Danio rerio: one gene and its partner. The protein of the gene in region 1 purifies or fractionates together with the protein of each later gene. This does not show direct contact. Links are inferred from orthologs where the notes say so. Each region holds a gene or a part of one and is shown on either strand. Other genes may lie near its edges.

What was found. Proteins that work in one complex are often made in the same cells at the same time.
Region 2: the proteins of psmb1 (region 1) and psmd5 fractionate together in Homo sapiens (co-fractionation; 3 studies listed by BioGRID). This does not show direct contact. The link is inferred for Danio rerio from reciprocal best matches to the Homo sapiens genes PSMB1 and PSMD5.

Annotation. Positions count from the first base shown.
Region 1 is NC_133188.1:1,047,237-1,058,619, reverse strand, and holds psmb1 (proteasome subunit beta type-1), read left to right. Parts: upstream 1-1,147; 5' UTR 1,148-1,191; coding exon 1,192-1,292; intron 1,293-2,536; coding exon 2,537-2,644; intron 2,645-4,997; coding exon 4,998-5,079; intron 5,080-6,314; coding exon 6,315-6,444; intron 6,445-8,840; coding exon 8,841-8,947; intron 8,948-9,464; coding exon 9,465-9,650; 3' UTR 9,651-9,768; downstream 9,769-11,383. UniProt on the Homo sapiens protein: Non-catalytic component of the 20S core proteasome complex involved in the proteolytic degradation of most intracellular proteins. This complex plays numerous essential roles within the cell by associating with different regulatory particles.
Region 2 is NC_133196.1:6,261,095-6,272,705, reverse strand, and holds the start of psmd5 (26S proteasome non-ATPase regulatory subunit 5), read left to right. Parts: upstream 1-6,292; 5' UTR 6,293-6,327; coding exon 6,328-6,503; intron 6,504-9,939; coding exon 9,940-10,084; intron 10,085-11,611. UniProt on the Homo sapiens protein: Acts as a chaperone during the assembly of the 26S proteasome, specifically of the base subcomplex of the PA700/19S regulatory complex (RC).

The DNA.
Region 1 (11,383 bases):
TGAATAGACACTGTACGCTGCTGAATGTATATATATATATATATATATATATATATATATATATATATATATATATATATATATATACATACCCTGCTAAAAAATCCAGCTTAAACCAGCCTAGGCTGGTTGGCTGGTTTACCAGGCTGGTTTTAGAGGGGTTTTGGCTTTCACTTCCAGGCTGGTTTCCAGCCATTTCCAGCCTGGTCTTAGCTGGTCAGGCTGGGAGATGACCAGCTAAAATCAGCTTGACCAGCCTAGCCAAGCTGGGAGTCCAGCCAAAACCAGCTATATCCAGCTAAAACCAGGCTGGTCAAGCTGGTTTTAGTTGGATTTGGCTGGTCATTTTCCAGCCTGACCAGCTAAGACCAGGCTGGAAATGGTTCCAAAACCCCTCTAAAACCAGGCTGGTCAACCAGCTAAAACCAGCCAACCAGCCTAGGCTGGTTTAAGCTGGATTTTTCAGCAGGGATATATATATATATATATATATATATATATATATATATATATATATATATATATATATATATATATATATATATATATATATATATATATATATATATATTTGCTGTTGTTTGTACCTTTTTGTTTCTAGATTAAAAAAACAGATAAGCAGATTTACCAAAAAAAAACAAAACATTTTTTTTTAATGGTCCAACTAATTTGCAATTAATATCCGCAATATTATTATCATCACGGATATTTCATATTAATCATTCACCTCAAGACTAGCAGCATAAACATTGTACATATGTAGACTTACATTAAAATCTAATACTAGGCCAACTTTGATACTCAATATAGTATGAACTACTTCTAAACAATACTATACATGTGATAAACATTTTTTTTTTGTAAACAGCAAATGTGATGATGAAGTAGTACAAAACATGCTTTGTTTACTGCAGTTATGTTGCTTGTTGACGCTAATAATAACACGACACATTCACTTCAGTCACCTTTTCTTTCTTTTTTTCACTTAATCGCAGATATTATTGAATTGTGTGACGACTTGTCTTGCTTTATTATCACAATCCTCGCATAAAAAGTCTTGTTTATGTTGAAAAGCTAGCCATTAGCAGCAGACGGCGCTGTGGCGGTGGCGCGCACGGGAAACAAAGGACCTGTCAACTTCCGACGGCCATATTGCGGTGATACAGCGAGTTTTGCGGAGAGGAGCTCATCATGATTTCTGCCCAGGCTTATGGAGAAAACGGCAAAATGAAAGAATATCACTATACAGGACCAGTGGAGCACAAATTCTCCCCTTATGCCTTCAACGGAGGGTAAGAAGATATATTGTCCTCCATTTTCATTCAGCAGAGCATCCAGCGAACATGACAATTCACTTCACAGCTACGATTCAGCCATAAACTCGTCTTATAAACTGTTTAGAGACTTAAAATTTGTACATTTTACACAAAATAAAATGTCCGAGAGCTAAGTTTAGTAAAATCACGGGTGTAGCAGCAGTATAAATTGAGCTTAACAGTGTGCTTATTTTACTTTCACTATCACAACTGCAGAAATTGACTATTCATGTGTTGTAAGTCAAAACCGATGATATCTGAGGTAAAAACATTAATATTTAGACCTAATATGGTTTATTATTGATGCTAATTTTTAAACCAAACGTTGTTTTATTGTGGGACGTTTATATTGTTCTTATATTTGCTCCTACATGACTAAAATACTGTAGTAATTTATAGTAAATACTGTAGTGCTTTTAAATCATGCTATAGTGAAGTGTATTATACTGTATATATTATAATAATCACTCTTTTAAATCTATTAATGAAGGCCCCAGTACACTATAGTGAACAGATAAACTAATAAATGCTGTAGTTTTACTAAAGTAAACTGTAGTTTATTGTAGTATAATATACTTTAAGAAAATTTGGATTTGTTTATAATAATATAAGTGTATTAACTATTGAAATAACACATTGAGGTAAAGTTGGTTTTATATTCACACATTCACACTTAATGATACAGTTTAGACAAGTATTATTTGCAAATTCTAAGTAGTGAAATCATATTATCAGCCAGTGACTGTCAAAGTACAGCTTTGTTCACTGTCAATTAAAGACTGCTAATGTTGTTTTGAAGGCATTCTTGCATGCAATTTCACACCGAATATTTAAAGTAGCGTGGTAAACAAAATAAGGAGCAAGTTGTCACTGTACGAATGTGCTAATATAAAACCAGCTTTACCTCAATAAATAATAAGAGACAAGCAGAGTCAAGCAGTTGTGTTGAGGTAACGTTGGTTTTATGTTTACAAATTCAAGCTTTTTGATTAATATTATAATTTCAGAAAAGTTATTTAAGTTGGGAAATCATATCGGCAGCCAATGACTAACATAACATCAGTTAAAAAGTGCTAATAATGTTGTAAAGCATTAAAGTGAACAAATGTGTGAATATAAAACCAACTTCACCTCGATTTGTCTGTCTTTATTAATTGTTTATTTTCTCTTCTGTTTATTTAAATGAGGCATTTGTATATTTGTGTTGAATCTGTTCTCAGGACAGTGCTGGCGGTGGCTGGTGAAGATTTTGCTATCGTGGCCTCAGACACACGTTTAAGTGAAGGTTACAGCATCCACAGCAGAGACTCGCCCAAATGCTACAAGCTGTGAGTGACTGTTATTATTATTTTAATATATGTGTATGATATAAAGGCAAAAATGCTAATTTACCTCCAGATTGTTAGTGGGCCGCTTCGGTAAGTCATGGTGAAAATGTATATATAATTATGATTTTTTTTACTCTAGACACATAGAGCATGTTTAAGAAGATACATTATTAATTTATTGAGGTAAAGTTGATTTTATATTAGCACATTTGTTAATTTTAACAGTTCCTATATTGTTTGCGATGCTACTTTGAATATTGGGTCTGAAATCACATGTAAGTATGACTTCAAAACAACATTATCACTATTTAATTGACTGTGAACAATGTTGTACTTTGATAGTCTATTGGCTGATAATTTGATTCCCATATTTAGAATTTGCAAATAATACTTTTCTGAAAATATATGATTAAGGAGGAAGTCAGAATGTGTGAATATAAAATTAACTTTACCTCAATTATTCATTTAAACATATTCTGTGTGTCCTGTTTATTCTTATTTTTTTTACAGAGTAAAAAATCATGACTGTCATACATTTTTACCATGATTTTAATGACAGAAGACTCCCACTAAAATTCTATTTTACTCATATTTTTGTTTTTAGTGATGTTATATATTATGAAATGTATTAATTTTGTAATATTTAATGAGTGACCCTTTGTTACTTTACCTTTAACAGGTCAGAATAACTGTGTTCTTGAACTTTTACATATATGTCAGGGCTCGACAATAAGGACTGCCCCGTGGCCCAGGGCCAGCGTGAGAGATGCTTGGGACAGTAGACAGGATCATTACTGGCCCGATTGGGACAGTGCTGCCTTGTCACTAACATTTCATTTGTCTGCGACTATTTCAATTATGTGCGTTTTAAGTTTGTGCTTTTAAGTCTTTAAACACTCCCTTCTCAATGAAGTCGTAAACACCATATTGCTTTCCGGTTCCGCTTATCTGATTTGATGTTTTGAGCATGCTTTTTTTCCCCGCAACCTGGGAACAACCAGTACAGAGAAGAAACGGCAACATGGCGGCAACATCAAATTATAAGGCTAAAAGAAAATGCCTGTTTCTAATGTCTTAGATACAGGAATTTACGTGTGAACAACGCGAAAAAAAAAAAATGAAGTGATGTTTTGCACTGATTGCCCACAGTCAGCCCACCTTTTGTTAAATAATTTCGAACCGCAATAAAAATACCTGCACATTTTCCATACTGCTCTTTTTGTTTGCACAACACTTTTATTAATGTTTTTTTAAGTATTGAAATTCTAGATTCACAGACTTTATTTTTGACACATATTTAAAATATGCGGCTGAAAAATAGCTTTAAAAATTTTATTTATTTATTTATTTTTTTGGTGGGGCCAGTACAAATTTTGGCAGGGCCAGTAAAAATCTAAACCACTGGCCCGATCAGACCAGTAAAAAAAAAATCCATAGCGTTGAACCCTGTATGTATCAGAACATTTGCAAAGCAGATTTCTTCAACACATTTCTAATCGTAATAGTTTTAATAACTCATAATCTCTTATAACTGATTTATTTTCTCTTTGCCATGATGACAGTAAATAATATTAGACTAGATATTCTTCAAGACACTAGTATTCAGCTTAAAGTGACATTTAAAGGCTTCACTAGGGTAATTAGGGTAAAGTTAGGGTAATTAGGCAAGTCATTGTATAACGATGGTTTGTTCTGTACACTATTGAAAATAATATAGCTTAATGGGGCTAATAGTTCTGACCGTAAAATGGTTTTTAAAAAAATGACAACTGCTTTTATTTTAGCTGAAATTAAACAAATCAGACTTTCTCCAAAAGAACAAATATTATAGGAAATACTGTGAACAATTCCTGAATCTGTTCAACATCATGTGGGGAAATATTTGTAAAAGAAGAAAAATCAGAGGGGGACTAATAATTGGGAAATGCTGTGAAAATGTCCTTGCTCATTAAACTACTTGGGAAACCTTTAAAGTAAAAACTTTACAGGAAGGCTAATAACTTTGCTACATGTGTGAACATTTTGAGTGAAGTTGAAGACTTTGAAGTGGATTAAATCTTTGTATCAGTTGAAAAATATTTCCAGTTTTTTTCCAGTTCTAGTAAATGAGAGTGCACTAGTGTACTTTAAAATCCCTGTTGTCAATAGTAATCCAGAAACTGAGAAATTGCACTTCAGAGTTAATTATGAATTATTTAGCATTAAACCGTGTCTGTGTCATTGTTCTCAGCTGCAAGAATGTTAAAACCCATGACAGTGAGCAAATAAATGCACACCCACAGTTTATATTGTCAGCGTGTGTGTGCTGTACAGCACTTTTTACTTTCATTTCTCTGTTTTTACTCTCTCTCAGGACAGACACTACAGTTCTGGGCTGCAGTGGTTTTCATGGAGACTGCCTGACGCTCACCAAAATCATTGAGGCCCGACTGAAGGTGCGTCTCACAGCCTAGAAGGGAAAATGGAAATGCTGTTGTCGTTTTTTCATGAGGGAACATTTTCAGTGTGCTAACAGTATGACACTGAAATGTACAGATATAATGCTTCACTCAACAAAATGAGTTGAGTTTTAGAAATGAACAACCTTTTATTATTTTTCTATAATATTGCTGTGGATAATTTATCTGTAAAATAACAATATAATTTGTCAAATAACAAAGCAAATTTTACAACCAATTAAAAAACAGATAATACAAATAAAGGAAGTATCTTTATTATCATTAGTTATTCTTAGCTTGATTTTTTTTTTACATGCTTTGTTGTTATTATTATTATTATTATTATTATTTAGGAAATATGACAATAAGTTTTCTCTGCACATTTAAAAGGGTGGAAAAAAAAACGTTGCCTCACATACAAAACTGAACAAATCTCCTAATTAAGGGGTGTCCAAACTCAGTCCTGGAGGGCCGGTGTCCTGGAGAGTTTAGCCCCAACCATAATCAAACACACCTGAACAAGCTAGTCAAGCTCATACTAGGTATAATAGAACAGGGGTGTCCAAACTCGTAGGTGTCCTGCATAGTTTAGCTCCAACTTCCTTCAACACACCTGCCTAGAAGTTTCTAGTATACCTAGAAATGGCTTGATCAGCTGCTTCAGGTGTGTTTAATTGGGGTTGGAACTAAAATATGCAGGACACCGGCCCTCCAGGATTGACTTTGGACACCCCTGTACTAGACACTTCCAGGCAGGTGTGTTGAAGCAAGTTGGAACTAAACTCAGCAGGACAGCGGCCCTCCAGGATTGAGTTTGGACACCCCTGTCCTAATTGTTTAAATCGCTTTATCAATGTCATCTTGGCACTTTTTAGGACTCGTCATGTTTGCTGTCATCATTTTAATAATTTCACTAACAAGGTTCATCACTTAAAACATTACCTGCTACAACTTGTTTACAACTTGTTTAACTTGTTTTCATGTTAAGACCTGCTATTCCAACCTCAATACCTTCCAGTGCATTGCATTTGCCCCATGTCAGGTGTGAATATTTTTACAACATTTATTGTTATTGTGCAAAACATTAGCTAAAAGAAACTTGAAAATGTCATTGACTTCCGTAGTATTTGTGTAGTCACACATGTAAATGGACTTCCAGCCAGCTCATGATCCCCACAGAAATATCCACATTTCCTGAGCGGTGTGTTTGACTTTCTGGGCTGCCCTTACAGATGTACAAGCACTCGAATAACAAGAGCATGACGAGTGGAGCCATCGCAGCCATGCTGTCCACCATTCTGTACGGCAGGCGCTTCTTCCCTTACTACGTCTACAACATCATCGGCGGTCTGGATGAGGAGGGTGAGTTCGCTCAGGTCTTCAGGCTTAATTCAGCCATCTAAAGGTCAGGAGCGCATTAAAGGCAGTCTGGCTGACTGAAATATACTTGGCTAAACTGGCAATGAGCTGGTTATAGAGACCAAAACAAAGACATTTTGACAAGTAACCAGGGGGCTATTTCATAAAAGTGGTTAAGAAAAGCCTGACTTCAATGAGCTGAACTAAACGTCCACGCTTAAATTGATTCCATAACGGCAAGTTGAAGATCGTTTGATTTAACTAGTCTGAGTTCAGTTTAAATGATCTAGATAACTGCTCGTGCACATTTCTGTTGTGAAACCTTAAAAGTCGAGCATAGATGCATCGATTACGTTGTGTGCTACCATGGCAACTTAGAGAACTGAAAGAGCTCTGAAATGAGACACAGCTGTTCACAGCGAGTGAGTCACGAAACTGCAGATTGTTTAATAAGCTACAGTAGCTCTATATTTTTAAATATATGCTATTATTTATGCCTATTAACATGAAATTAAATATTTGTTATAAAACATAGTAATTGTGCTTGACCGCGCATGTGCATGAGAGAGAATTTGCGCTTACTGCCAATTGTTGCTTGCAATTAAACGTTTTAATGCATTGCGTTAAATATATTTGTGCATATACATTAGATTATTCAGTACCAATGCAAAGTTTGGAATATATATATATATATATATATATATATATATATATATATATATATATATATATATATATATATATATATATATATATATATATATATATAATTTTTTTTTTTTGCTATTAAGTGACTAAAGTTTTAATCATTATTAAGAGGTTAAGTGAATTTAAATGGCATCAAATTATGTCAGGTGAATGTTAACATTACTTTGATTAAGCTTAAACTTAAGGCTTAGCCTTGGAGTTAGCCTGCCCCGGACCAGGCTAGTTTCCCAGCCTAAGTTGCCAGGGTAACTAAGTTTGAACTATCGTAAATTTGATTTATGAAACCGAATCCGCCATTAATAAACCTGACTTACCAAAAAAAGCCTGGCTTTTTCTGTAAGCTTGGTTGATGGAATAGCCCCCTGCATTTTCAGGTAGATTTATTTATTTATTTTTTTATTAGAATATGCAAAAAGGTACATAAATTGGGATCATACAAATACAAAAAACATCAACAAAAAACCATAACAAAACAACAATAAAAAAAACAATAAAAAAAAAAAAAAAACAATATAGTCAGGTACTGTTAGGTGTGTGTGTGTGTGTGTGTCCATGTAAAGGTAACTTGGTGGAAGGTCAGATTACATACATTAGGAACAATGTTAGCCAATAAATGAATCTAGTCTCGCAGATATAAGTAAAACAGATACAAAAGAAACCAGTCAGAGTTAGGGAGTAACAACTATGCTTAGTAATGTATAATAGAAATAATGACAGTAAAAAGAAAGAAATGACAACAGTAATAATAAATGATAATAAATCACAAGTACTACCCTAACTACTACTACTGCAGAAAGTTACTTATATTACTATATAATTATTAACTACTATTGCTGCTACTACAATCACAACCACAACTATTACTACTATAATGTCTACTACTGCTGATACTACCACAACAATGACTACCACTACTGATACTACAGCGTCTGCTACAACTAATACAACGTCTACTACTACCGCAATCACTGCTACTACAACATCTACATCAACGACATCTACTACTGGTACTACTACACCAACAACGATTACTACTGCTACAACGACACTTTTACTACTTCTGCTACCACTATACCAACGACATCAACTACTACAGGAACTAATACTTCAATAATCACAATTACGATCGATACTACTACAATGACTACTACAACTACTACACCAACAACGACTACTACTACTACTACTGCTACAACGACACCTTTACTACTTCTGCTACCACTATACCAACGACATCAACTACTACAGGAACTACTACTTCAAAATACAATTACAATCAATACTACTACGATGACTACTGCTACAACTACTACTACTACAACAACAACAACAACAATTACTGCAACCTTAATAATGATAATCGTATTAATATTTTCAGGTAGATTAATATTGTGGTATTTGTATACTTTATAAGAGTCACAAACTCACAGCACCTTTAAAAACCCCTCTTCATTACCACAGAAGAACCAATAAACAAGATTACTGTGGTAATGCTAGGAAACTGCATGTTGCATTTTCAAATTTCGGCCATCCCATATTAATGAATACGTTGTCAGTGCAGACACTTGACACTTTTATGATCTTAAGTCTCTCCAAATGGTTGATCAGTTTCGTTTCACTAATGCATGTACACATTTTTCTTGAACACAGAACGGTGTGATTAAATAATCATGTGTTTTGCTTTATTCCAGGTCGAGGTGCTGTTTATAGTTTTGATCCAGTTGGTTCCTACCAGAGGGACACGTATAAAGCAGGTGGATCAGCGAGCGCAATGCTGCAGCCGCTCCTCGACAACCAGGTCAGAGTTCAGATTATCATCATAATATTAAATAGTCCATCTTAAACCCCATTCAGACCAGCAGTTTCTCCCATCACTACCAAACTTAAGTACACATGAAGTCAAAACTAACCATATTAGGAAAAAAACAATAGATTGCCCTTATAGTCTTTAATTGAAATCTGTAAATGCACTTCCTGATTGTTTTTGGGTAAATTCTCAGATTAGGTCTGTCTAATGTGGTGGGCGGGGCTAACACCCTTAACCACGCCCATCCAGCTGTCAGTCAACCAACAGAAACAGTGAGCAGGAGGAGTCTGTTAAGTTGTAATAACTCTCCCCAGACCCTTTTCCCCATCTTCCTGAATGAAACACCTACTTTACTACATCCAATCAGCTCACAGTACAAAAAACAAGCCACGCCCACTGTCTTCTCATTTATTATGCCGTTTCTCTCACAAAAGAAATGGTTACAGATTCCAGTTCACGAGGACTTTAATAGAAACCAACCATTAACTAAGTTGTTTGTTGTGCTCAGATCGGCTTCAAGAACATGGAGAACGTGGAGCATGTTCCTCTGACCCAGGAGAAGGCAGTGCAGCTGGTGAAGGACGTGTTTATTTCTGCTGCCGAGAGAGACGTGTACACCGGAGACGCCCTCAAAGTCTGCATCGTCTCCAAAGAGGGCATTAAAGAAGAGATCGTGCCGCTCAGGAAAGACTGAGACGCCTTCTCTGCACGCCAACGTTAGCCTCTTTTTGTTTCGCTCCAGATGCATCTTTCATTCTGCTCTCCTTTTTATATTCTGTCTCGAGAATAAATACCATACTGGTGTCAACATTGTGTAGTGTTCAGAGTGGTTTGTCCATTTGACAACCTCAGGTTGAGTGAAAACATCGCATCTGGATTGTGTTAAAATGTCTACGCTGTAAAAAATGCAGAGCTCCACACTAACCGATTAAGTGAAAGCAACAAATCTGAAGTAGATTGAACTTAAATTAAGTGGTCAAAAAATAAAATCTCAAGATTTGTGTAGTTTTGACACATTTTAAGTTATTTAAAAACATTTTTTATTTTAGATGGATAGACATGGAAAATGGGCCTAATCAGGTTTTTAGCTTCGATTTCAAAACTCTTACAATTATTATTTAAGTAAAAACCTCACTGTATAGTATATGCTCAAATTTACACTTAAATACTTGTATAATTTTATTGAAATATTCAAAACATATACCAGCAGAACATCATTAGCTTTGAAGACCTATTTTTTGAAGATCATTTTTACCTGTTACAGTGTTCAGACGGCAGAGAGACACCACGTTGACGTTGTGATGCCAAAATCATTGTAATACAAACGATAACATTAAAAAAACGCATGTATCGGCCACTTAAATGTTGTGGCCATTTATTGGCCAATATCAATATGGGTACCAATATAGGCAGATGTTATTATGGTGACCTACTCTATATGCAGTGTTGGGGAAAAAGTAATATATTACAATCTGTAGTATGTATTTATATATATATATATATATATATATATATATATATATATATATATATATATATATATATATATATATATATATATATATATATATTAAGGGTGTCATGATTTCAATTTTTAATCAAAATCGATCGAAATTTATCGTCAACTTCAATTATCGAATCAAAAAATAGAATCGTCGATGCTGCAACGCCCCCATGTAACGTCAGCTTGGCTTGCCAAGCGGGAAAAAACAGGCTTGTTGAAGTGCTTGTTAAACTGCAGAAGCAGGAGACCCGTCGACAGAGCTTAAACCCTCTCCTCTTTCAATGAAGTCACCGGTGTGGAAGTATTTTGGATTTTCAGTTAGTTATGTTGACAACGTTCGTGTTGTCAACAAAAAAAAAAAAAAAACAGTTTGCAAGCTCTGCCATGTACGTATTACGGTTGGGATAATAGACGATGGGCGCATTGCGATCCATACACGAAAACACGAAACTCAGGCCCTGTTTACACTAACATGTCTTTGTTTTTAAATGGCATTTTAGAACGACAACAATCCACATCCACACTGGCGTGTAGCATTTCTGAGCAGCCCTCCTTCCTCACTACCGCTGAAAACGCACATCACGTGACCACACACACACACTCATTCACACACAGACACATTGTCATGCGCTCGAGACAGCGGGTCAAGGCAGTCAGCGGTTCAGTAGACTGCTTCCATCTTTTACTTTCACACAAGTACTTGGTCATTTTAGCGAACACCTCAGATACTGTTGGCTGGTTCCTGTCTTTCTGGAATGATATTGTTAAGGAGACAGCCAAAATGTGATACAATTAAAACAACTTGACCTCAAAGTTGTACTCTTGGTCTTTGTGTTCAACTATTAATCAGCTAACAGTCAGAATAATAGAAATTCATGTTTTGATTTTATTATTAAAGATCAATAATAACTTCACCATAGCAC
Region 2 (11,611 bases), on another chromosome or scaffold:
ACATCAGGAAATTTAAAAACAGAGACTTGTTGTCTTTATACCACCCTAATATGACAGTAGACACACTTTACCTACACACAGTTCTGTCCAAACAGCTTACAAAAAATTATTTTTATCATAGGTGCCCTTTAAAGTGTATCCGCTTGTTAAGTGTGCCGTCATGTGAAGCGGCTTCCGGGTCCAAGCACTATATCAAACTGTATGGGAAGACTCAACAAATGGTAATAATTATAACGTTTGCAAAGCAATATAATACTTTCGAAAATCACGATCGCAATATATAGACCTTTTTTCATGGCTGCTGCATGAAGGGCGCCATAGCGACCAGCGTCTTTTAGAATGCTAAAAACTTCCTTTTACAGCGTGTACAACTGGTAATTTGCGCTCCGAAAATGGGTTTCAATAACGTTTTTAATGGATAACAGAGTGTTTTTGTGACACACAACTTAGAAATGTGTCTGTTAAAGCCGTTTAAAGCTGGCAGGACAAAGTCTCCAACGTCAAAGTCTTGACTCGAAATCTGGGAAGAGAACAACAGGACGCCCATTTCTGAGATTTAAAGATGTCGTTAAGAGGGACATGAAGGCCCTCGACATAAACACCAAGTCTTGGGAAGACCTCGCAGCAGACCGCCTGAAATGGAGGTGCACCCTGACCAAACAGCTCAAGTTAGGTGAGAAGAACATGATGCGTGCATCAGAGGACAAGAAAGTTCACCGAAAGGTGCAGAGCGTCAGCCAGGGAGGCACCTATCAATGCGACTGCTGCGGTAAAAAATGCCTCTCCCGCATTGGTCTCTTCAGCCACCAACGACGCTGTCTTAGACAATCAGTCATGCCTCAAGATAAGAGCTAGGATACGTCATCCATGGTCAACACTTACCGACGGAGGCCTACTTATAATCTGTCGATGTGGTTCAAGCGCGTAAAAAATACGAGAAAAACGTTCTCCTAGTTGACGTGTCTGCCGTCAGTGTGTGTGTGTTCCCGGCCTGTCGAGAGAGAGAGAGAGAGAGAGAGAGAGAGAGAGAGAGAGGGAGAGAGAAAACCAGAGTACTGGCATGAAACTTAACAGGTATGAAAGTCGTGCAATTTACAAAAATGACCAATAAAAGTCTGTTATTGATCCTCTGCTGGCTGATTTGCTGTTCATTCTAATCGCGAGCCGTTTGTGTTTTATTTCGTGTGTTGTTTTTACCACGGTTTGTGTTTTTCTGTCATTTCGAAATGACACTAGCCTATATTTCCACTTTGTCACAGTTATTAAATCAGTGTGTCAGTGGCACAGTACAGGCTACGTGTGTGTGTCAAACATTTTGGTGAATTACATTAGTTTGGGCTGGTTATATATTTGAAATGAAGAGAAAATGTTGACTTTAGCGATGCCGAGGCTTCATTTAAACTGCAGAAGATGCCGTCTGACAACGAGGGGAAAATGCCTCACAGCAGCTGTTTTCCATCCTATTAGATCGCATTTCTTTAAATGATCAGTCCAGGAGATGCTGCTGATGGACAACACTATTAGTTCAAAGGGGATAAAAGCAAGTAAAATAGATAAAACTATCGTTTCAAAGCTGTCCAAATGTGACTGTTTACACGCATCAGCTGCCGACTGGAAGTTCTTCGCATTCTCCTTGCGCATACACGCAAAGCATAATGGGTAATTTTGCGTTCCAAGAAAAAGGTCTATACATCCATGCCTAATAATCAGATGGCCAGACAGTGATTAATTTTTTTAGAAGTTGTTCAAATATTGGTGTCTGTAATATAGCAAGTCCAGAGACTGCTGTTTACAGCATGATTTTTTTATAAAATTCATATGACTAAAAAGTGGTCATAAACAAATATTTTCTCAACTCTAATGAGACCCTGAAATAGTATTTTAACAAGCGAATTGTACTCATATGCTGCATTTATACGACCAAGAATCCTCTAATAACTTGAGAACTTCTGAAACAAAGCTGATAAATTAAAGAATTATAATTGCAGACCAGTCAAGTCTCATGAGCAATGAAAAAAGGAAACTGCTGAGTAATACATATATAGTGCTCTAAAATAATACTGTATTAGTTTGTTTGAAGTTTGTATGTGTTTAAAGAAATAATATAGATCAAAACCAGTCTGGATATTGTTAAAAAGAAATCTATAAATGCTTTAATCGTGTCATTACGGTAATGATAGTGTGACCGTGCACTGAAATCACACTGCAGCTGTAATCCGAAAGAAATGAGACGTGTACAACGCCAGCCATTTTAGTTCTATTACCATAATATATGTGTGTGTGTGTGTGTGTGTGTGTGTGTTGGGACTGTAATGTCTTTCAGAAAAGAAGGTGTGTCTTGGAAGTTTTATTTTTGCTCTTGGGTTGAGGTTAAACTAGTGTGCGTCTGTGTGTGTGTGTGTGCGTGTGCGTGTGTGTGTAGGATCTCATTTTACCTTTAACAGGGAGGCTATTGATGACCTGAAACACACAAACACACACTCAGAAGTGAAGGTCTACTGGGCAGAGTCCTGTATGTGTCTGTGTGTGTGTTTCTCTCCTCTATCTCTAAGGAAAAAAGGAAGACATTGGTTCTGATCATGAAATAATTGCCCTAACTCACTGTAAAACTGAAGTAGCAGAAATGATAGCACATGCACGAGCGCTGAAAGAGCCATGAGGATTAGGACTAGAGTGTTTGAGAACAGAAAGCTGAGGTGAATGGGCTTTGATGGTGGACATAGACTCTTTGTGAAGGCTGAGGGTGATGTTCATCAGTGAGCCCATTGACTTCAGGCTCCTCCACAAACACACTTGAGATGGTTTGATCTGCGTGTGTAAACAGGAGTCTCCCGCCCGTAATTAAAGCCACAGTCAGGGGGTCACATGCGGATGAACAAAAACAGCTTGTATGGACATGCCAAACCTCAAGACTGCTACAGTACCCGAGTGTTGGATCTTTTGACTTGGGCGAGTGAGGAATTACCTAGCAACCAGTCAAAAAAGCCTAGCAACCAAGCTTATGCGCATATATGTATCAGAGATATTTAGGTCTACACGAATAAGGGCATTTTCAAAACCGCTCTTTTTTTCGTTGGCGATGGTGTGTACAGTGTTAGTATTAACATTTAACGGACATTTGCACTGAACACGCAGTGAATGCAATGCATCGAGATTCGGGCACCTTCTCCGAAAACACTCGATTGATCTCAGCTCGCGGGTCAACATGCACCACATGATCACCGTCATCTCCGCCATCATGTGTAACTTTAGGTGGGGTTTGCAAACCTGTGTACTTTTCACTTTTCAGCCGTTTCCATTACCCGCGGTCACAAAAAGTCCCTGTCATCTGACAGCAGAAAGCCTTGAGTGATTGAGAGCTAATATGAACCAAAATAGCAGCAGGGAAGACCGATTCAGCACGTTTTTAGAAAAAAATCAAAATAGGTCGCACTACAACCATTATATGCAGTCGCACAAATGATTTGGTTTGATTTGATTTATTTTACCATTTTAATCTTTTTAGCGAGAGAACTGTTGCACTGTCAAATAAACTGTTTATTTATTTATTGTTTTATGCAGGAATTTGTGTATTTATTTATTTTTGTATTTATTTATTTATTGTTTTATGCAGGAATTTGTGTATTTATTTATTCATTTATTTGTGTATTTATTTATTTATTGTTTTATGCAGGAATTTGTGTATTTATTTATTCATTTATTTGTGTATTTATTTATTTATTGTTTTATGCAGGAATTTGTGTATTTATTTATTTGTGTATTTATTTATTTATTGTTTTATGCAGGAATTTGTGTATTTATTTATTTTTGTATTTATTTATTTATTGTTTTATGCAGGAATTTGTGTATTTATTTATTTATTTATTTATTTTATTGTTTTATGCAGGAATTTGTGTATTTATTTATTTTTGTATTTATTTATTTATTGTTTTATGCAGGAATTTGTGTATTTATTTATTCATTTATCTGTGTATTTATTTATTTATTGTTTTATGCAGGAATTTGTGTATTTATTTATTTTTGTATTTATTTATTTATTGTTTTATGCAGGCATTTGTGTATTTATTTATTTATTTATTTTTTTTTTTATTTATTGTTTTATGCAGGAATTTGTGTATTTATTTATTTTTGTATTTATTTATTTATTGTTTTATGCAGGAATTTGTGTATTTATTTATTCATTTATCTGTGTATTTATTTATTTATTGTTTTATGCAGGAATTTGTGTATTTATTTATTTTTGTATTTATTTATTTATTGTTTTATGCAGGCATTTGTGTATTTATTTATTTATTTATTTATTTTTTTATTTATTGTTTTATGCAGGAATTTGTGTATTTATTTATTTTTGTATTTATTTATTTATTGTTTTATGCAGGAATTTGTGTATTTATTTATTCATTTATCTGTGTATTTATTTATTTATTGTTTTATGCAGGAATTTGTGTATTTATTTGCGTGTTTAGTTATTTATTGTTTTATGCAGGAATTTTTGTATTTATTTATTAGCCTATTTATGTATTTATTGTTTTATTTATGCAGGAATTTGTTTATTATTTGCCTATTTATTTATTGTTTTATGCAGGACTTTGTGTATTTATTTGCGTATTTATTTATTTATTGTTTTATTTATGCAGGTATTTATGTATTTATTTATTTGCATATCAATTTATTTATTGTTTTATTTATGCAGGAATTTGTGTATTTATTTGCGTGTTTATTTATTTATTGTTTTATGCAAGAATTTATGCATTTATTTATTTGTGTATTTATTTATTTATTATTTTATTTATGTAGGAATTTGTGTATTTATTTATTTGTGTATTTATTTATTGTTTTATGCAGGAATTTGTGTATTTATATAATTATTTATTTGTGTATTTATTTATTTATTGTTTTATGCAGGAATTTGTGTATTTATATAATTATTTATTTGTGTATTTATTTATTTATTGTTTTATGCAGGAATTTGTGTATTTATTTATATATTTGCGTACTTATTTTTTATTTTTGCAGGTTTCGTCCTCCATATATACTGAATTCCATATGTGTTTGGACACACTTTGCAAATAAAGGAGGTTTTGATTCTGATACTGTAATGAATATGGAAATCAACAAGTATGTTACCATGCTATATGAAGGTCTCATGGTATTTTCACATGACACCAACGCTGTATGGAACATTTAGAACTCCGGGTTGTTAATTAATACTTTAATAGTAACAAATAATAGTCGACGTATAATAAAGATGATTGAGAAAAAACTAGTCTAAATGGCGGCATCTAGTGGCCGCTAAAGGAAAGTAAGCTACAGAATCTCCCCTCACAACTAGTCCTGGTGATTTTGTTTATTTAAAAAAACAAGGCTTTCATGGATACGCAAATAAAGCACATTTCCTAAAACTACGCAATGTACGAGCATATACAACACATTTAAAGTTACCATATAACATAATAAAATAACGTTACACCGGGTTGTTGTTCGTTACCTGAATGCCCATCTAGAAATTGGCGTGCGACTCCCATAGACTGGTGACTCCTCAAACATGGGACGAACTTGTCAGAACTCTTGAATAATTTAATAAACATCCCAAAATTAAACTGTATAAAAATTTCATACACAGGTATTGGAATTTACACGACGTCGAGTTACATCAACGTATTTACATAGGGTCATGGCTGTATTTTTGGACTTCCTAGTTTCCGTAGTTTCCGCCTAAACTACCAATTACCGTAGTTACACCAAAGATCGATGGTAAATCCTGAACAGGTTACCGCTGCGGATACGCGCATCAATATAGCATAATTTTTGTGACACTGTATAACAATAATTAACATTTTTACAGTACTGTGACGGTCGGGGTTATGGTTGGGGTAGGGGTAGACGTTACTAAAATACAATTTATGGGAAATTTAATAAATAATATAAAAAATTATCGTTAACTTCCAGCTCCAACTGTATCTGATCTAGCAACAACCGAGATCGACAGCATTTGGTGTGTAACAAAATAAATTATTTATGAACAATAAATGATTATACATAATGATTTATAAATGTTATTTTATAAATATATAATTAAATTACAGTTACAAATTACATTTGATTAAACTTAATATGCGTATATTTATACATACATATTAAAAATAAAAACAATTATTGTATTTCATTCATATAAATATAAAACTAAATGTATACATACTACAAATGTAATATGATACAATATAAATTTCAAAATACACAGTACAACAGCTTCTGATTTTACTGACAAAATGCAAATGAGCTCAGCGTGTTTCCCGCCCCTCGGTCACGTGACGCAAACATTGAGCCATGATGGCGGCGCCTATAGAGAGTCTGTTGAATGAGATCTGTGAATCAGAAGATCCGATCGAGGAGCTCAAGAGCCTCCGGACAGCCGTTTTAGCGACTCCCGTGAGCGGTTTGAGGCCAGCAGTGTCTGGAGCCCGACTGGAGATCATATTCAGCCTTTTAAACACTAATGACAAGTGAGTGTTGATCCTGCTGAGTCAACAGGCGCAATACACACCACACACTGCACACTGATAGCCTACTGTAATGAGCGAGCAGTATTATTGAATTTATTCATTATTAGTCTTTACACAATGCGTACTTTTTGCATTCAGCAGGTCATTTCATTGTGTATTGAAGTCGAGAATGATTTATTAAACCTTTTCAAATAACTCATTGATGTAAAGTTGGTGGGACTTCTTACCAGGAACGTACGTTATCTGTCCCTGACATAAAATAATCAATACAGTGAATAAAAAGTTTCCCATCTCTTATCAAATAGCCTGATGGTTGATTTCTGTAAGTTGTTCTGTAAAGGAATATGTCATTCATTTGGTTCTCAGATTTGTGTTCTTTATTAAAACACTTTACAAATGTACAAACCCTGTCATTGTCCTCAGCTTTAATAGTTTTGTTATGCTAAAAACTGTTATTTGGGGGGGAAAATACTTCAGAAATAGCAAGTTTAAGTTTTTATCATTCACATCAGTTGATTATGAACATGAAATGATTAATAATTTCTACAAATAAATACAACAAATACATTTACAATCAATTGTCCTCATGTTTCTGTCAGTCCTGTCACATTTGCATTAAATTTAACATTAAATGCGTGCAATTCACCTTTAAGGCTATGACTTTGTATGATTTTTCGAGGACGACAAGCTTAAAGGTCAGGCCCTGTAACATTTTTTATAAGTGTACATTGTACATTTCTGGTAGAATGTCCCTGCTTTTATATTTACACATTCAGAGTTTCTCCTTAATAATACAATCTCAGAAAAGTATTGTTTGCAAATTCTAAATAGTGAAATCATGTTTGCAGCCCATGACTTTCAAAGTACAACATCGTTCACAGTCTATTAAATACTTCTAATTTTGTCAAGTTGTCACTGTTCAAAAATAAACAAATGTGGTAATATAAAACCAACTTCACCTCAATAAATAACTCTTCAAAAAACTTTAAAAATTCAATAAAAATTCTGTCATTATTTTCTCTCCCTTCATTTAAAAAAAATATTTATGAGGTTCGTTTATGGAACAAATATATGCCATAGGTATTGAAATAAAAAGCTTATCGAATAGCACAAGCTGAAAAAAAAATAATACGTTGAATTAACAACTGCTTGCATTTTAATGACTTGGATTGCCAGGGTTTGTAATTTTACGTCCTGAAATTTAACACAGCTGTTTATTTAAGCTCAAAATATGTCAAACACATTTTCATACTTAAAATTGAATAATTCATATTCAATTTCCAGATTTCATGTAAATTATTCAAAAGACAATTTTCAATTCACTTTATTTCAGTTCAAAAATTCGCTTCCATAAATTCAGTGGATCAAATTCGGCTGTTAAAATTTGACATTAAATGCAACTTTTGTGCTGTTATTAGCTTTTTTCCTCAATTATTTACTGGTTTAAAAATATTAAATTGGTCCACCTGCTAGTGAAAAAGCAGCTGAAGATTGTCAATCTGCAATCTTTTGCTTTTCCCTGCAGTTCCCGGAAGTAATGTCGAATTTTAAGAGCCGAATTTCATCCACCGAATTTTTGGAAGCAAATTTTTGAACTGAAATAAAATAAACTGGAAGTTACCTTTTGAACATTTCGCTTCGTATTTTTCACTGGTATTTAATATTTTGTGAGTGAAACCTGCATATTGAATATGAATTAGTTTTTTTTGAAGTATGAAAACATGTTTGAAATATTTTTAGTTGAGATATTTACAGCTTAAATAAACAGCTGTGTTCAATTGCAAGCCCTAAAAATACAAACCCTGGCAATCCAAGTCATTAAAATGCAAGCAGTTGCTAATTCCATGTATTATTTTTTTCAGCTTGTGCTATTCCATAAGCTTTTCATTTCAATACTATTGGCATTGATTTTGTTCCATATTATTTCTCGTGTTGAACACAACTGAAAACCTGTAACCATTGACTTCTATAGTATTTGTATTTGCTAATATGGAAGTCAATGGTTACTGATCTTCAGTGTTTAACAGAAGAAGGCAACTCGTAAACGATTAGGGGAAAAATGACGGGAGAGTAAATAATAAATCATGAAGATTCATAAACACTTTAGGGAGACTAATTCGTGATTTTTTTTGTGTGTGTGTGTTAACTATTGCTTTAACCTCCTAGGGCTGCGTGGACAGCGCATTATAGCTCTTAAGTGGCTATTTAAAATACTTTGAATGTTTTATATTTTGTTACAGACGTACAGTCTCATCCTGCAACTCTTTTGCAGAATATGAAATGTCCCAAACCCTATTTTTAACTGTCCAAAATGGGGGGAAATATATTGTTTTTAGTCTCTGATAGTCAAAACATGTTCAAATAAGTTTTGTATGTTAAATATGCATTTAAAAACAGTCAGGAAAAAGTGTTTTATGTAAATTCGGACCACGAGTCCACATATATGAACATTATTTTTCTCTAAAAGTACATCATATCAAAAGATGATACTTAGGTTTTTATTCTAATTAGGTTCCAATAAGCCCACATACAGTAGCAAAGAGAAATAAAAAATACATGTAAAAAACACCCTGGGCATTAAGAGGTTAATGGGTATTCATTTTGACAAAGAGTTTTATTTTTAAAAATACAGATACTGCGTCTTTAACATTTTAAAACACATATAATATAATAATTTTAACCGTTTATATAAATACTCATAGAATATGACAATAAGTCCATATAAAAATTGCCGCTCTCTTATTTTTTTACAGAGCTGTGTAAGAAAGCATATTCATTCATTCATTTTCCTTCAGCTTAGTCCCTTTATTCATCAAGGGTCACCACAGCGCAATGAACCACCAACTTCTCCAGCATGTGTTTTACACAGTGGATGCCCTTCATGCTGCAACCCAGTACCAGGAAACACCCATACACACTCATTCACACACACACACACACACACACTAGGGACAATTCAGTTCATCCAGTTCACCTATAGCGCATGTGTTTGGACTGTGGGGGAAACCGGAGCACCCAGAGGAAACCCACGCAAACACGGGGGGAGAACATGCAAACTCCACAAAGAAATGCCAACTGACTCAGCTAGGACTCGAACCGGGGACCTTCTTGCTGTGAGGCCACATTGCTAACCACTGTGCCACCGTGTTGCTCATGAAAGCAAACATAACGCAAATGAACTTTAACAGTAAATCGTGTAATTAGTATATTTGTGATTCAGATATTTTAATGAAGCGAAAACAATAATCCAAGTCATTTTGAAATCCTACACAACTTACACAAGTTTCATTTGTTTAAATGAAACGTGCATATCAAAATGATAAACCCTCTTATTTGGCACTTGACAATGTGATCTTAAAAAATGTTTTACATGGAGAATTATTTTCCGTGATTGAACACTGCTTTCTGTCTGTTTTTTGTTTGTTGTTGGGTGCAGAGAGCAGATTGAGGTGTGTGTGGAGATCCTAAGTCGAGTCCTGCAGGCTTTAGAACCGGTTCAGCTTGCACAGAACTACAGGAAAGCGCTCCAGAGCGGACTCAACCATCCTGATGACTCGGTCAAAGTGCTCACGCTCACACAGGTCAGTAGAACAGAAGTGCAACTCAATGCATCATTCTATACCGCCCCGCTCACTTTTTCAGTGTTGTTCCCCCGTTCACTTTACCCACAAGTATTTTGAAAAAAAAAAAAAACTGTGGTTTAAGGCGCACTGAGAAATATGTGATCCTAAACCACAAAATCACCAGCCATCAGTGTCTATTTTATAAAACTCATATTTATACATACATAGCATGAAATAAAAATAAAAGAATAAAGGGAAAATAAAAGGGAAATAAAAGAGTTTTCTATTGGTGTAAGGTTTGTTGTGACAGGAAAATACAACTAGTTGAAAATCTGTGAATTATAAAAAAAAAAAAAGTAAATACTGAGGAAAAGGGCTCAGTGGTTAGCACTGTTGCCTCATAGCAAGAAGGTTGCTGGATCGAGTCCTGGCTGGGCCAGTTGGCATTTCTGAGTTTGCATGTTCTCCCCATGTTGGCATTGGTTTCCTCCGGGTGCTCCGGTTTCCCCCACAGTCCAAACACTTGCGCTACAGGTGAACTGAATAAACTAAATTGGCTGTAGTGTATGTGTGTGCATGTAAGGGTGTATGGGTGTTTCCCTGTACTGGGTTGCAACTGGAAGGGCATCTGCTGTGTAAAACATTCAAGTTGGCTGGATAAGTTGGCGGTTCATTCTGCTATGGCAACCCCATATGAATAATGGGACTAAGCTGAAGGAAAATAAATGAATGCTGAGGAAATCACCTTTACGCCCCATTCACACGGGGCTTCAGCGTCAACGCTTGATTAAAGGCGTGTCTGAAGTTGGGGCTGAAACGATCGTCATAGAAGCGTCAGCCAATGAAATTCAGTCAGCAATAGGCCACTGTCTAGCTGGTGTATTTGCATACAGCGATCTGATTGGCTGACGCTAGAGTGGGCGCTTGAAAAGTTGAGCTAGTCCCAACTTCTGAGGCGAGCAACACCTCTGAAGGGGCGCTGACGGATCCACAATGCAGTTCGGCAATGCCTGACGTCACCCACTCAAAGTGAATAGGAAGCGCTGACGCTGACGCCCAGTGCGAATGGGGCCTAAGTGTCCAAATTAAGTTCTTAGCAATTCACCTTAGTAATAAAAATAGAATTTTAATATATTTACAGTAGGAAATTTACAAAATATCTTCACGAGACACGATCATACTTCATATTCCAATGATTTTTGCCATAAAATAAATATCTATAATTTTGACTCGTACAATGTATTTTTGATCATTGCCAAAAAATATCCCTGTGCAACTTAAGACAGGTTTTTTGGTCCAGGGTCACATTTGTGACCACAGTGTTGAATCAGCAGTAAGGTTGTAGATCCCAGTTGTAAAAGCAACAAATAATAACTTGACTTCTAGTTGATCATCAAAGTGGCAGAAGACATACCAATCATCACAAATAATAAACAAGACCTACTGGAACCCGCATGGACCCAAGATTCTCACAGAAATCAGTCAAGTTTGGTAAAGGAGAAATCATGGTTTGGGGTTACATTCAGTATGGGGGCGTGCGAGAGA